Linked DNA regions of Callithrix jacchus. The protein of the gene in region 2 interacts with the protein of the main gene of each other region in a pairwise test. Links are inferred from orthologs where the notes say so. Each region holds a gene or a part of one and is shown on either strand. Other genes may lie near its edges.

Region 1 (5,894 bases), about 49 Mb from region 2:
GGGCTTTCCCTTGACTAGGGAGGCCCACCTCGTCCTCCCAAGTCCCTGCTTTGGGATCTCTGGCCTCCTCCATTTGGGCTGGCACCTGGCTGTGGCCCCGGGTATGAGCCTGCAGGTGGCTGGCCAGTTCATGGTAGGATTCAAAAGCCTTGCCACAGTCAGGGCAGACAGAGGTCTGGGCATCTATGTGGTTGTGACTGTGGCTCTTAGTGGCCATAGGAGTCAAGATCTCCTTGGAGCAGAGCAGGCAATAGTGTCGGTCTGTCTTGTGGGTATTGTGGTTCAAGAGGCCGCCAGACTGGCAGTAAATCTTGCCGCACTGGCTGCAAGAGAAAGAGTGGCTCCCTGGCTGCAGCTGAGAGCTGTTGTTCCAGCTATCCATATGACTCAGACTAGGTCCATTGAGCTGGCGGTCACCAGCATGGCAAGGACTCCTGGGAACACTGTCCTCTGGCTCCTCTGGCCTGGTGAGGAATTGCGGAACCCAGCCTCCACTGTGGTTCCCGAGTCCCCCACCTCCTGGGCACCCACCTGCCTTCTCTGTGCCCCAGGACAGTGACTCTGGGGCTTCTGAGCCTGCTGCCCTGAGGGGGCTCTGACTGCACTCCCCTGGTCTCGGGACTCCATCCTCCAGCTGGGGCACTGGCTCAGTACCACCCAACCGGGCCTCTAGTCCTGGGTCACCAGCCAGGCTCGCCTCACTGCCCACTGTGCCATCCGGGCCTCCCTGGGCATTGGCTGGCTCCCCTTCTTTCTCCTCCTCATGCTCCCGCAGGTGCCGCTCCAAAGATCCCCGGCCAGGGAAGCCACGGCCACAGAGGGCGCAACGCACAGCTGAGCGCCTGGACCGCCCCGCCCGCCGCCTCCGATTCTCTGAGTGCAGCCTCTGATGGTCCTTCAGAGCCATGCGGTTGGAGTAGGTCTTGGGGCAGGTGGGGCAGCTGTACTGGCCCGTCTCGTGGCTGCGCCGGTGGTTCAGGAGGCTGCCAGCATGGCGATAGGTCCGCCCACACTGCCCACAGCGGAAGGGCCGATCTTCTCGAGTCGGTTTTCGGGTGCCACCACCCCCACGCCGCTCCATGTGAACTCGCTGGTGGCTGGCCAGCTGTTTCCGCAGGCGGAAGGCCTTCCCACACTCACTGCAGCGGAAACGTCGGGGATCTGCATGGATACGCCGGTGGTTCTTGAGGGACATGAGGTTTGAGAAACCCTTGGAACAGGCCTGACAGCCAAAGTGGCCGGTCTGGTGGCTCTGCCGGTGGTTGATGAGGCTGCCAGCATGCTTGTAGGAACGGCCACACACCTCACAGCTGAAGGGCCGCTCAGAGCTGGCCTCAGTCTGACAGCCCTTCTCAGCAGTCTCTAGCCTGGGCTCTATCTCCTCCCCCTTCACAGTGGTCTCCTCCCACACCTCTTCTTTCACCCTCGCCACTTCCTCCAGGGGCTCCACTTTAAGTTCTTCCTGGAGCTTCTCTACTTCTGCCTGCCCCAGCTCCTCCTCTGCCATGTGCTGGGGCTCACTGCTACCTCCTGCCTCTGGGATGGGCCCAACCTGGGGCTCAGTGCTGCCTCCTGCCTCTGGGATGGACCCAACCTGGGGCTCAGAGCCTTTGCAGCGAGGGTGGTTCCGCAGATGATTACGGTAGGCAGCCAGGTTGGGGTAGCAGCGGGAGCAGACAGGGCAGAGAAAGTCTCCGGTCTGGTGGATCTTGCGGTGGTTCACCAGGCTGCCCCCATGGCGATAGGTCTTGCCACATTGGTTGCAGCGAAAGGGGCGGGGCTGAGCCTCCAGCAAATTTTCCCCACTCTGCATGCAAAGGCTGTCTCCCAAGGGGGTGCCTGCTCCCTCTTCAGACTTGGCATCTCCACCCTCTCCAGAGACAGAAGTCACTATGTCCCCCAAGACACTGTCCATGACCATCTCTGTGGCATCACCTGCTGTTCCCAAAGGGCTGGGAGCCTTGTCTACTGTAGTCCCAGAACTCTGACTTTGGTGGTGGCGCTCCAGGCTCCCCAGGTCATCGTAGGTCTGACCACAGCAGCCACAGATGTGCCCATACCCTGCACCGTCCAGCGCTTCCACCTCCCGCTGCAGTTGATTCAGCAGCTCTGCTTCCGAGAGCTGCAGTGGCGGGCTGCGGGCGGGGGCTGCCTCTGCCGCTCCTTCCTCTTCTCCCTCCTCCTCTGAGCCCTCAGTCATGCCAGAGGAGCTATGGGCCTGGCGCCGGTGAAGCCTGTAGCCAGCACGCCCAGGGAAGATCATGCCACAGAGGCAGCAGAGGAAAGGCTGTGCTGAGGTCGCCTCCCCCGGCCTGTGGTTCTGGAAATGGCTTCGGAGGGCAGGCAGAGAGTCAAACTCCTTTGGGCAGAGGGAGCACTGATAGATGCCGGGTGGGTGGCAGGGCCTGTGGCTCAGCAGGCCAGTGGCATGGGGGAAAGAATGCCCACAATCAGAGCATGTGTGAGCAGCCTCAGCCTCCCAGCCAGTGACAGCATCAGCAGAGTGGGAAGAGGAGTTGGGCTGACCAGTGGCTGGCTTCTGGTCTTCATCCACCATGGTGACATCATCGCAGAAGCGAGTCCCACCACCTTCCTCACCTCCTGGGATGTCCAAGTTGTCAAGGAAACTGGCATCCTTCCTTTCCAGCCCTTCCCCAGTGCCTCTGCTCTCTTTATCACCCTGGAAATGGGTCTCAGCCTCCTTCTCAAGCCCACATTTGTCCCCTTCAGATTCAGCTAGCAAACAATCCCCATCACTTTCCAGGATGCCTTCAGCCCCGTGAGAACTTTTCTCTAAAGGATCTTGGGGAGAGGCCAGGCCTTCATTGTCTTCCGGCTCCTGGATCCAGCTCCCTGCTGCCGGGAGTTTGGCTTCTCTTCCACCACTGGCACCGCCAGCCCGCTTCCGATGCCGCCGGCTCCGCCGCCGACTATGGCGGCGCAAGTGGTTCTTCATGGCTGCCATGGTATGGAAGTGCTTGGCACAGGCCCCGCAACTGAAGTCCCCTGTCTGGTGAGTCTGCCTGTGGTTGATAAGGCTGCCGGAGTGGCGATAGCTCTTTCCACAGTCTCGGCAGGCAAAAGCCCGAGGAGGCGACACCGTGGTCTCTGTCCTGCTATTTTCCTTTTCGCCTACCACATGAGTCAGGCCATGACGTTCAAGGCTCTCAGGGTCTTCAAAGAGTAGCCCACAGATGCTACAGATCTGTGCTGCTGTCCTGACTGCTGCTGGGGTGATATCTGTGGCCTCTTCTTCATGTTTGCACACGTCCCCCTGATCTGTGTGCAGAGCTGCCTCTGCCTCCACTGGGTCGGATGGGAGTTCCACCTTGAGGTGGCTGGGGGCACCCTTGGCCCCAGGGTCTGCACTTCGGCGAGCAGCCTTGCAATGTACTCGCACATGGTTGCGCAGGGCCATGAGATTGGGGTACTTGCGGGGACAGAGAGAACACTGGTACTCTCCAGTCCGATGGCTGTGGCGATGGTTCACCAGGCTCCCTCGGTGGCGGTAAGCACGACCACACTCACTGCACTTATAGGGCCGATGGTCCAGGGTGGTGGTGGGGTCCTCTTCCTCTTTGTGGGTGGCCTCGGCCAGCAGCTGGGGAGCTGGCGGCACTGATGGCTGCCCGTTTTCCCCAACTCCGTGCCGGGGCCTGTGATGAGCCCGCACGTGGTTTTTGAGGGCAGCCGCATTGAATAGCTGCTTAGAACAGAGTGAGCAGGGATAGACACCCGTCTGGTGGCTCTTTCGATGGTTGATGAGGCTCCCAGCATGGCGGTAAGTACGGCCACAGTCCCCACAGCGGAAAGGCCGGTATTCCTCCAGGCCATTGTCCTCCAGCTCCCCAGAGGTACTGAGCTCTGCAGAGCCATTCAGCATCTGTGCACTGGGCAGCTGGTCCTGGCTGCTCTCGTCTGTGTGCCCATTGGTGGTGAGCATCCCTTTCTCCTCCCAGGGTGGCTCCTGCCTTTCACCCTCATGGGACTGCTGGTGTTCCAGCAGCTCACGGGGGAGCCGGAAGGCACGGGGGCAGTGGGGACAATGGTAAGGCCGATACTGGGCATGGAGTCTAGAGTGGTTCTTCAGAGCCATGAGGTTCGAGAACTCCTTAAAGCAGATGGCACAGGGGTAGATGCCCAGCGTGTGGCTCTGGCGGTGGTTGGTGAGGCTCCCGGCGTGCTTGTAGGTCTTGCCACACTGACTACACTTGTACCGCCGCTCCTCCTCCGCAGGAGGGGACTGGCTAGGCTCTTGGCCCCCTGTGAAGTTCACTACTGATTCAGCCAGATACTGTTCCAAGTTGCTAAGGAGGCTGCTGGCTGGGGTGGGGAGGGGAGGGGCCCTGGCAGAGTTGGTAGAGGGCCCCCAGCCGTCTGTACCATCCTCAGGACCTGGCTGGCCTGCCCAGCCTTCTCTTTGTCTGGTGGGTAGATCTTCCCGAGTACCTGAAGCTGCCCTGGGATCAGGTACAGATTCACAGTCAGGTGTCTCTTCGGTATGTTTTGTCTGGTTTTCCCAGCCTTCACCAGAGCCAAGCCTTTGGCCCCAAGTGTCAGTGGACACCATCTCACGCTGGAGGCGTGGAGTGGCTTCCTTGGAGCGTGTGGGCCTGTGCCTGCGGCGACCCTCAGGAGCATGAGTCCTCATGTGGCTCTTGAGAGCCATGGGATTGGTGAAGTCCTTGCCACAGGTGGTACAGGGGAAAAGGCCAGTCTCATGGGTCCGACGATGGTTGACCAGGCTCCCAGGGTGACGGTAGCCCCGCCCACACTGCTGACAGCGGTAGGGCCGAGGGATGCTGTCAGCCTCCTCACAGTCCTGGTTGGGAGATGGATGGAGCAGTTCTCGGTGCCGTGACAGCTCTGCGAGGCTGGGAAAGTGGCGATGACAGTCCGAACAGCTGAGTGAGGGGGGTGCGTCCTCCATAGGGCAACGTGGCAGAAACCTGGAGGTTCAGAAGGAGTAGACAGGTGGCAGCACCTTCCTCTGGTGGAGGGGCCGAGGCCTAGGAAGAGGGGGCAGTAGTCAAAAGGAGGGCCTGAATTAACTTTGTTTCTTGGTTCTACTAGTAACAAGTTTACCTGAGGTCACCAAGAGGTTCCCCAAGCATCCATGCCCAGGAATCTGCTTCTACTAGATCCCATCTGCACCCTCATTTAAGGCCTCCCTGTGCACAAGCCCCTTAAATATAGGAGCTCCCCTACGCTTAAGTTATCCCTACAGGTATAGCGAAGGAAATTAAAGTTGAGAGGGATGCAACCTACTTCTGATCACAGACCTATTATCACGTTCTTCAGACCAGACTCAAAAGGCATTACTTGTCCTTTAACCCTCTGCTCCCTACAATCCTTAGACAAAAACTTTGTGACATCTTAAAAGAACACCAGAACCTTCTCTAAGCCTTTCAATAAGAGAAGTCCAAACCTTCCTCCTTCAAATCTCAGCTAAACAGAGTAGTCGAGAAGCGCTGAAAAAGCAGCTTCTTTCCTCCAGTTAACAACTGAGGACCTGAGAGGAGAGGTTAGAGGCCTCCTTCAGGAACAAGGCTGGCTTGTTCGCCCACTTCCCTGAGTCCTTTCGGTGTCACTAGGTCTCTTTTCCAAAAGACTCTCTTAGCTGGGCCAGGCATGGTGGCTCACGCCTATAATCACAGCACTTTGGGAGGCCAACGCAGGCAGATCACCTGAGGTCAGGAGTTAGAGACCAGCCTGCCCAACATGCTGAAACCCTGTCCCGACGAAAAATACAAAAATTACCCAGGCATGGTGGTGGGAGCCTGTAATCCTAGCTACTCTGGATGAGGTTGGAGAATTGCTTGAACCTGGGAGGCAGACGTTGCAGTGAGCTGAAATCAAGCCACTGCACTCCAGCCTGGGCGACAAAGCAAAAC
Region 2 (6,448 bases):
AGCTGCATGTAGATATGCTAGCTAAAATAGTGAAAAATATTTTCATAATTTGGTGTAAAAAAAAGTCACTTTTTTCCCAAAATACCTAAATACTTTTGGTTGAAGTCTTATTTTTATTTTTGAGGAAAGTCTTTTAGTTTCTATTTTCCTAAAGACAGACTTTCTACAAGTGAGGAAGAATCTTTTCTAGTTTTGCCTGCTCAAAAACATTAAGTAACCCCATTTAAACCCTAAATGAACTCTAAAACATCACTGAAAAACTTCCTTAAAATACTTGCTTTCACTTTAAAAATGGAAGAGATAAGCCTAGAATTCTGAACCCAGCTTAGCAGTTGTCTGATTATGTCCCTATACATTGTACCTGATATATTTTAGACATAAACTCATGGCCTCATGAACCCCAATAATAGATTTATAGGAAAAAGTCATTTTGCATTAAACATTTTCTCATGAAAATAAAGAATTCCCACAGGTTAAAAAGAATTTGGCCTTTTGCCTGGAAGAAGGAAATTGTCATAGAGGCTTTTTCAGAATACAGTGAGTTATACGAAGTCACAGTACTTCTGCTTGATTTACTTTTAATTAAAACAATTCAGAGCTATTATTTATTATTTTCAATATTTGTAAGTTACTCATTTCTTCATTGTAAATGCAAATGTTTTGAGAATGATCCATTGTATATGTCACATTTAGAAATAAATGCACTTCTGAAAGTCTATGTTGGAAAGCAGAAAAAAGAAATGTCTAATGTCATCTGCACTAAGAATTATTAAATCATAATCTACATAAAAGACTGTTATATCTTTTGTCATTTAGTCATCTAATTACAAACAACTACACTTTAAATGAGCAAGCTTATTAACATGCCTTAATCTCCCTCCTTCCCTCCCTCCCTCCCTTCTTTCCTCCTATACATTGTATTCCTCCTCTGTCTCTAGCTTAAATTCAAAAGGTTGTGTATTCAAAAGCAACAGTGTGCAAGTTTTTTGATAGTATTCTTTGCTAAGTTTAGAATTGCATTGCAATCCAATTTTATCTCTATTCATTTTGTTTTAGTGTTATGGAATGGCCAAATAAAGCATTGAGGATTATAATATTGAGTGCCCAAGAATAGTAATCAAAAGCCTGCCAATAAAGACGCTATAAAATTGCATGAGTTGGTAACATCTTAAGCAAATATTCGGAATTTAGGTACGTATTAGGCAGATATTTGGGGATTCTAAACGTGTTCCCATGAAGGGAGAGTAAAACTTGGATAGAAAATAAGTTGTCTAATTGTGATCAGGGGAATATTGAGGGGGAAGAGGTGGGGTTGGGGGGGTAGAGGTGGAGGATGGCTGCGGTATAGTGTACAATTCACTGGAGCCCATGTAGTCTCCCTCGCTCCTTCACGATTTTCCCTCTTCTTCAAAGTTTGTGTCAGGATGTCATCCTGGCCATTTAAGTGGAAAGATACATTCCTAGAGCTTGGTTGTGAGGAAAGTAATATTTTTGAAGGTATGATTCAATTTCAGGATGAACTTTTTGGAGCTCTAGAATGATTTTTAACCCCCCGCCCCTCCCCCGCCAAATTCAGCAAAAGGAAGAAGCAAGGCCCAGCAGTGAACTATTCCCAGGCACCAGCTCAAGGCGGAGGGCTGATGAAGAAGCTGAGTGGCTTGCTAGGGCCCAAATCCGTTTTTGCCTTTGCCCTAAAACAGTTCCGTGATTGGAGTTTGGAAGGGGCAGAAAAAAGAGTAACTATCGGGAATAGGCAAAGAGTAGCAACGCCTGGGGGGTAAAAATCAGAACACCCCCTTCCCCACAACCCTTCCCCGAAGGCAGTAGGCTGAAAGGGGGAATCCCTCTCGGGCGCTGACTTGCTCGCCTGTCTGAGAGCCAAGTTTCTTCGCAAGCGTTAGCCACCTGTGTGAGGCGCTCCGGGTGGGAAAGGTGGCGTGGAAGAAGCGACAGCTTGGCCACGCGGCTCGCTCGGGAGCTTTCCTTGGTGAGGCCGGCCGTTAAAACACCTCCAGAACTCGGCGCTTTGAGGATAGAGTCCGCTCTGCCTCTTACGCCTCCAGGATCAGAGCCCCACTTTCTCCAGGCTGATCTGCTCTGGAGCCAGAAGACGCCTCCCGAGTTTGCCCGGGGTCCTCCCTGTCCCCTCCCTCCCACCTCCCCACCCTCGAAGTGGCGCTCCCGCCTCGCTCCGCCTGCACAGCTCCGGCGCGCCTGGAGGCTTATCAGGCTCCCCGCACGCCCCTGCGGCTTCCTCGGGCGCCCGGCGCGAGGGACTCTGACAGTACAGCCGCTGCCTCAGAGCCCCCCATTCACAGCCCCTCCTCCCGCTTCCCCGCCACCGCGCCCCCCAGCTCTTCTCCCCTGCGCCGCGCGCGGCGCCCACCGCGTGTCAGGCTTAATCCCGGGTTGGTCCTGGTGGTTTGCTCATCCCCACTCTCAGCCTCCCAGCCAGCGCAGAGAAGTGGAATCCGCACTGAAACTCTGGGTGGCTGGAGCAGGCGGACTGGGCATGCTCAGAAGCCAGGGCTGGCTTTGGTCTCAAGTAGGAAGCTTTTGCACTCGGGAGGCAGCGGCGACTTTGGGGAAAGTTGATCGGAGAGGGGAGGAAGCCCCAAGACGCGGAGCAGCGGCAGGAAGGAGCCCCCGGCAGCCCGGAGGAGCATGGGCACCCTGCGGGATTTACAATATGCGCTCCAGGAGAAGATCGAGGAGCTGAGGCAGCGGGATGCTCTCATTGACGAGCTGGAGCTGGAGTTGGATCAGAAGGACGAACTGATCCAGAAGCTGCAGAACGAGCTGGACAAGTACCGCTCGGTGATCCGACCAGCCACCCAGCAGGCGCAGAAGCAGAGCGCGAGCACCTTGCAGGGCGAGCCGCGCACCAAGCGGCAGGCAATCTCTGCCGAGCCCACCGCATTCGACATCCAGGATCTCAGCCATGTGACCCTGCCCTTCTACCCCAAGAGCCCACAGTAAGCAGGGGTGACGCGCCGGATCCATGCGGCGCCCTGGCGGTGGGGAGCTGCGGGTCTCTGTATTGTCTGTCGGCCCCCGCCCCTCCAGCTTGCCATGTCTGTCCTTATCCTCAGAAATGTTTCATTTTAACGGGCACTTCTTGCGGGGCTGTGCACGTTTCTTAGAGCCAGACTCACTGCACATACGTTGCCTTCTTGTCTTTGTCAGATGTCACGGTATTATTTTTATATATACATATGCATTCGTATAAGCCACCTAGTGTACGTAGAGTTTGAACGCGTCCCAGGTGTGTGTCCGACCGTGTGTATGAGTCTGAGAGAAGAAATAAAAAGCCCCCCTGTCTCCCAAAAGCCCCCGCAAGCCAGACTGGAAAATCCTAAATGCAGGCTCGTCAGACTTGAAATGAAATGCGTCTGATATCACCCATACTTTCTATGCTTTTGTGGCTTTCCCGGATTTCTCTACCTGCTGGCGCTTCACGCTGGTAGCCTTCAAACCTGATGTTCTTGTCATCATCAAAGTGTGAAACAGAAGTAAATATGTATAGGAAAGGGAAGAATTTTTGATTTCCTGAATTGGATGACATTTACAATCCATAAATGGAAGCCTAGTCTGTTGATTTTTAAGAAATATTTTTTCATAATACATGAGGGAGAAGATTGCTTATTTTCCTTAAGGAACGTGCATAATGTTACCAATGGAGCATCTCCATCTCCCAAGAGGTGGTTGTTTGTTTCCAGGGTCAGAGACAGATAAGCACACTTATCTTATTTACAACGTGGACCCATTGTTTGCCTTACTCTTGGCTTCTAATGCAACCACTCTGGCATTGTTCTATTCTTTTAGAGAACTGTGCAATTCTGTTGTCAGTGGGCTTCATAACTTAGATGGGAAAAATTCAATGAAACTTGTTATACAACACTCAACTCAGAGTTCACATGGAGAGTAAAGCTGCAGGAACATGAGGTTAACAGAGAATGTAGGAGAGCACCCAAATGAATGGCATTTTAAATTAACAGATAATTACATAATTGATAAAACCAAGGATGTTGCTGATTACTTTACTACTAATGACTTCACATTGGGTGGATGGCACTTGTTACATAATAATGCAAGCTCCCTTGAAACCCTTCACTTCATAATCACAGGAAGTTAATATAAGGAGAAAGTGAATACTCAGTTATCCCTATTTTTATTTATTGGATCTTTTTGGGGGGAATCACAGTATGTACCAATTATTACTTTTGAAAACTTAAGAGTCATACCTATACGTATTGATTCCCATGCAACATTTGCTGCTCGTGCAGGCTTAGTTTTGGGAGGAGTTTGCATTTTGTGAGGGAGTGGGAAAGAGACAATAAGGATAAACATTTCTGAGATTCCGACCCTATCAAATTGCCCTAATAGTTCAACAGACTTAGATCTGCCTTAGAAACCTGAGTGATCTGAATCTACTTCAACTTTCTCTTGTAAATTAATTTGCAGTCCTGACATGCCTGCCTGTTTTAGCTAACGAGGTACATGACCGTCTCTCCTGGGCCAAGTTTTGCATAATGAAAAAATAACTCAAAGACAGCTCTCTGCATCTTTGAACATTCCATAGGAGCTCATTTTCATATCTGCAGGACTTTGGAGGGACACAGAGCAAACTCTGCTTTCATGAAAAGACAATTTTAATAGGTTTTATAGTGAAGCATGATCAAGCCAGCTGATAACTCCAGTTAAACATTCCATCAGAGATCTACAAGATTCTAGGCAGTAGGGAATCAACTATATAGTGCGGAAAGTTTAAAAGCCTCTTTGTACTTGACTTGTAGAATAACTAGATTGAAAAACAAAAAAGGTCCACAGAGGAAAATAAAACTAGTATGGCAAATAATTTACAGCATCTCATTATAATACACATTTTATCTATCAAATAATGCTGTATATTCTGATACTGATTTATTTATAATAACTTATGTTTTAAAGGACTCAAGCACTTAAGGTATTGCCATGATGCTTTTGGTGACTCTGAAGCATTTTATTGAAGAAAATGATAGAATGCCTTCTAAGCTTAAATAATTTTGCAAAAACATCTGTTCTTTTTTCACACTTACATTAAAAAAATATTTTAAAAATTGGCTTCAGTAGTAGAAAGTATACCTTTCTTAGAGAAAAAAAAATTACATAGTATGCAAAATGAATAAATCTAATGTTATTTGAATGGTTGTATGAGGTAGCTCCACAAAGGATTAAGAAAACCTGCCAAACCTAAGAAGACTTGTTTATATTTCAGTGTATTTCACTATGAATAATTTCATTACACAGACTTACTGGCAACAAGTGTTTGTGTCTTTATATTTCATCTTTACCACATCTTAAATGTAGCCATCTTTCTTATACATATAGATTATTATGAGTTCAAGTTAAAATGAAACTATCTAAATAGACACATTAATTTCCAGTTCACATTTATGCTAGTTTTTGATTCTCTTTCCTTTAGATGTAGGTAACTGCCCCGTTAATGTTCTGTTCATTTATTTGATATATGCAAATATTTCTTTTTAGCTTTTGCTTGCTGAGTTTGCCTTCTGAGGATTACAATTTTTTTAAATTATGTTTTCTTGGTAATTTTGATCATTTAAAAATAGTACAAAATGTAAACTAACTTAATAACTTGAATCATCTTAACATTTTGGTTTTAGAATTTTCCATTAATGTGGGAATTGGAGGGAATGACTGTCAGATTTCAGCACAGAGCCAGGGCACTCCTGCTATAACTATGAGGTAGGAGGAGTGTTTTTGTTGGTGTCTTTTACAATCTGTATAAAAGCAGTGCTTATGTGAAGCAAAGAACTGATGTAGCAAATTGGAATCTATATTCTGCTGCTTCCGAAATAACTCCTTGAGAATATAAAACTACTAAACTATATTTTGAAATAATGAGCAAATAAACCCTTAACAAAACCCAAGCATTCATTATGTGAGAGCAGATAGCCTATTGATTGTATATATAGAATGTTTCTTATGGACTTAAGTAATTTTATTTCATGACATTTCATTCCTGAAATTGATTCTACATCACGTTAGAACATTCAGTCTCTGAAATTTTGATCTAAAACCCTTATCTTTTGAAAATATTCCCAAAACTCTTCCGTTTTCATGTCACAGGGTTTTAGTCATTTCGGTTGGACTATATAGACTTGAGCTCCTAAGAGTTGTTAGTATCTTTGTATTTTTGTGAGTTATTGCTTTCACTCCAGAAGCAGTTGGATTTCAGAGAATTTCTCCTTCCTTCCTTCTTTCCTTCCTCCTTTCTTCCTCCCGCTTCCCTCCCACTGCCTCCCTCCCTCCCTCCCTCCCTCCCTCCCTTCCTTCCTTCCTTCTGTCTCTCTTTCTCTCTTTCATCTTGCTTTGTCATCCAGGCTGGAGTGTAGTGGCACAATCTCGGCTAACTGCAATACCCACCTCCTAGGTTCAAGCAATT

Evidence for each region.
Region 1: the proteins of PRKG1 (region 2) and ZNF646 interact in binary tests that used the Homo sapiens proteins (3 or more experiments, as listed by UniProt). The two-hybrid records come from large-scale screens. The link is inferred for Callithrix jacchus from reciprocal best matches to the Homo sapiens genes PRKG1 and ZNF646.

What each region holds. Positions count from the first base shown.
Region 1 is NC_133513.1:30,602,315-30,608,208, reverse strand, and holds part of ZNF646 (zinc finger protein 646), read right to left. Parts: intron 5,010-5,894; 5' UTR 4,931-5,009; coding exon 1-4,930. UniProt on the Homo sapiens protein: May be involved in transcriptional regulation.
Region 2 is NC_133513.1:79,219,683-79,226,130, reverse strand, and holds the start of PRKG1 (cGMP-dependent protein kinase 1), read left to right. Parts: upstream 1-2,560; 5' UTR 2,561-2,664; coding exon 2,665-2,975; intron 2,976-6,448. UniProt on the Homo sapiens protein: Serine/threonine protein kinase that acts as a key mediator of the nitric oxide (NO)/cGMP signaling pathway. GMP binding activates PRKG1, which phosphorylates serines and threonines on many cellular proteins.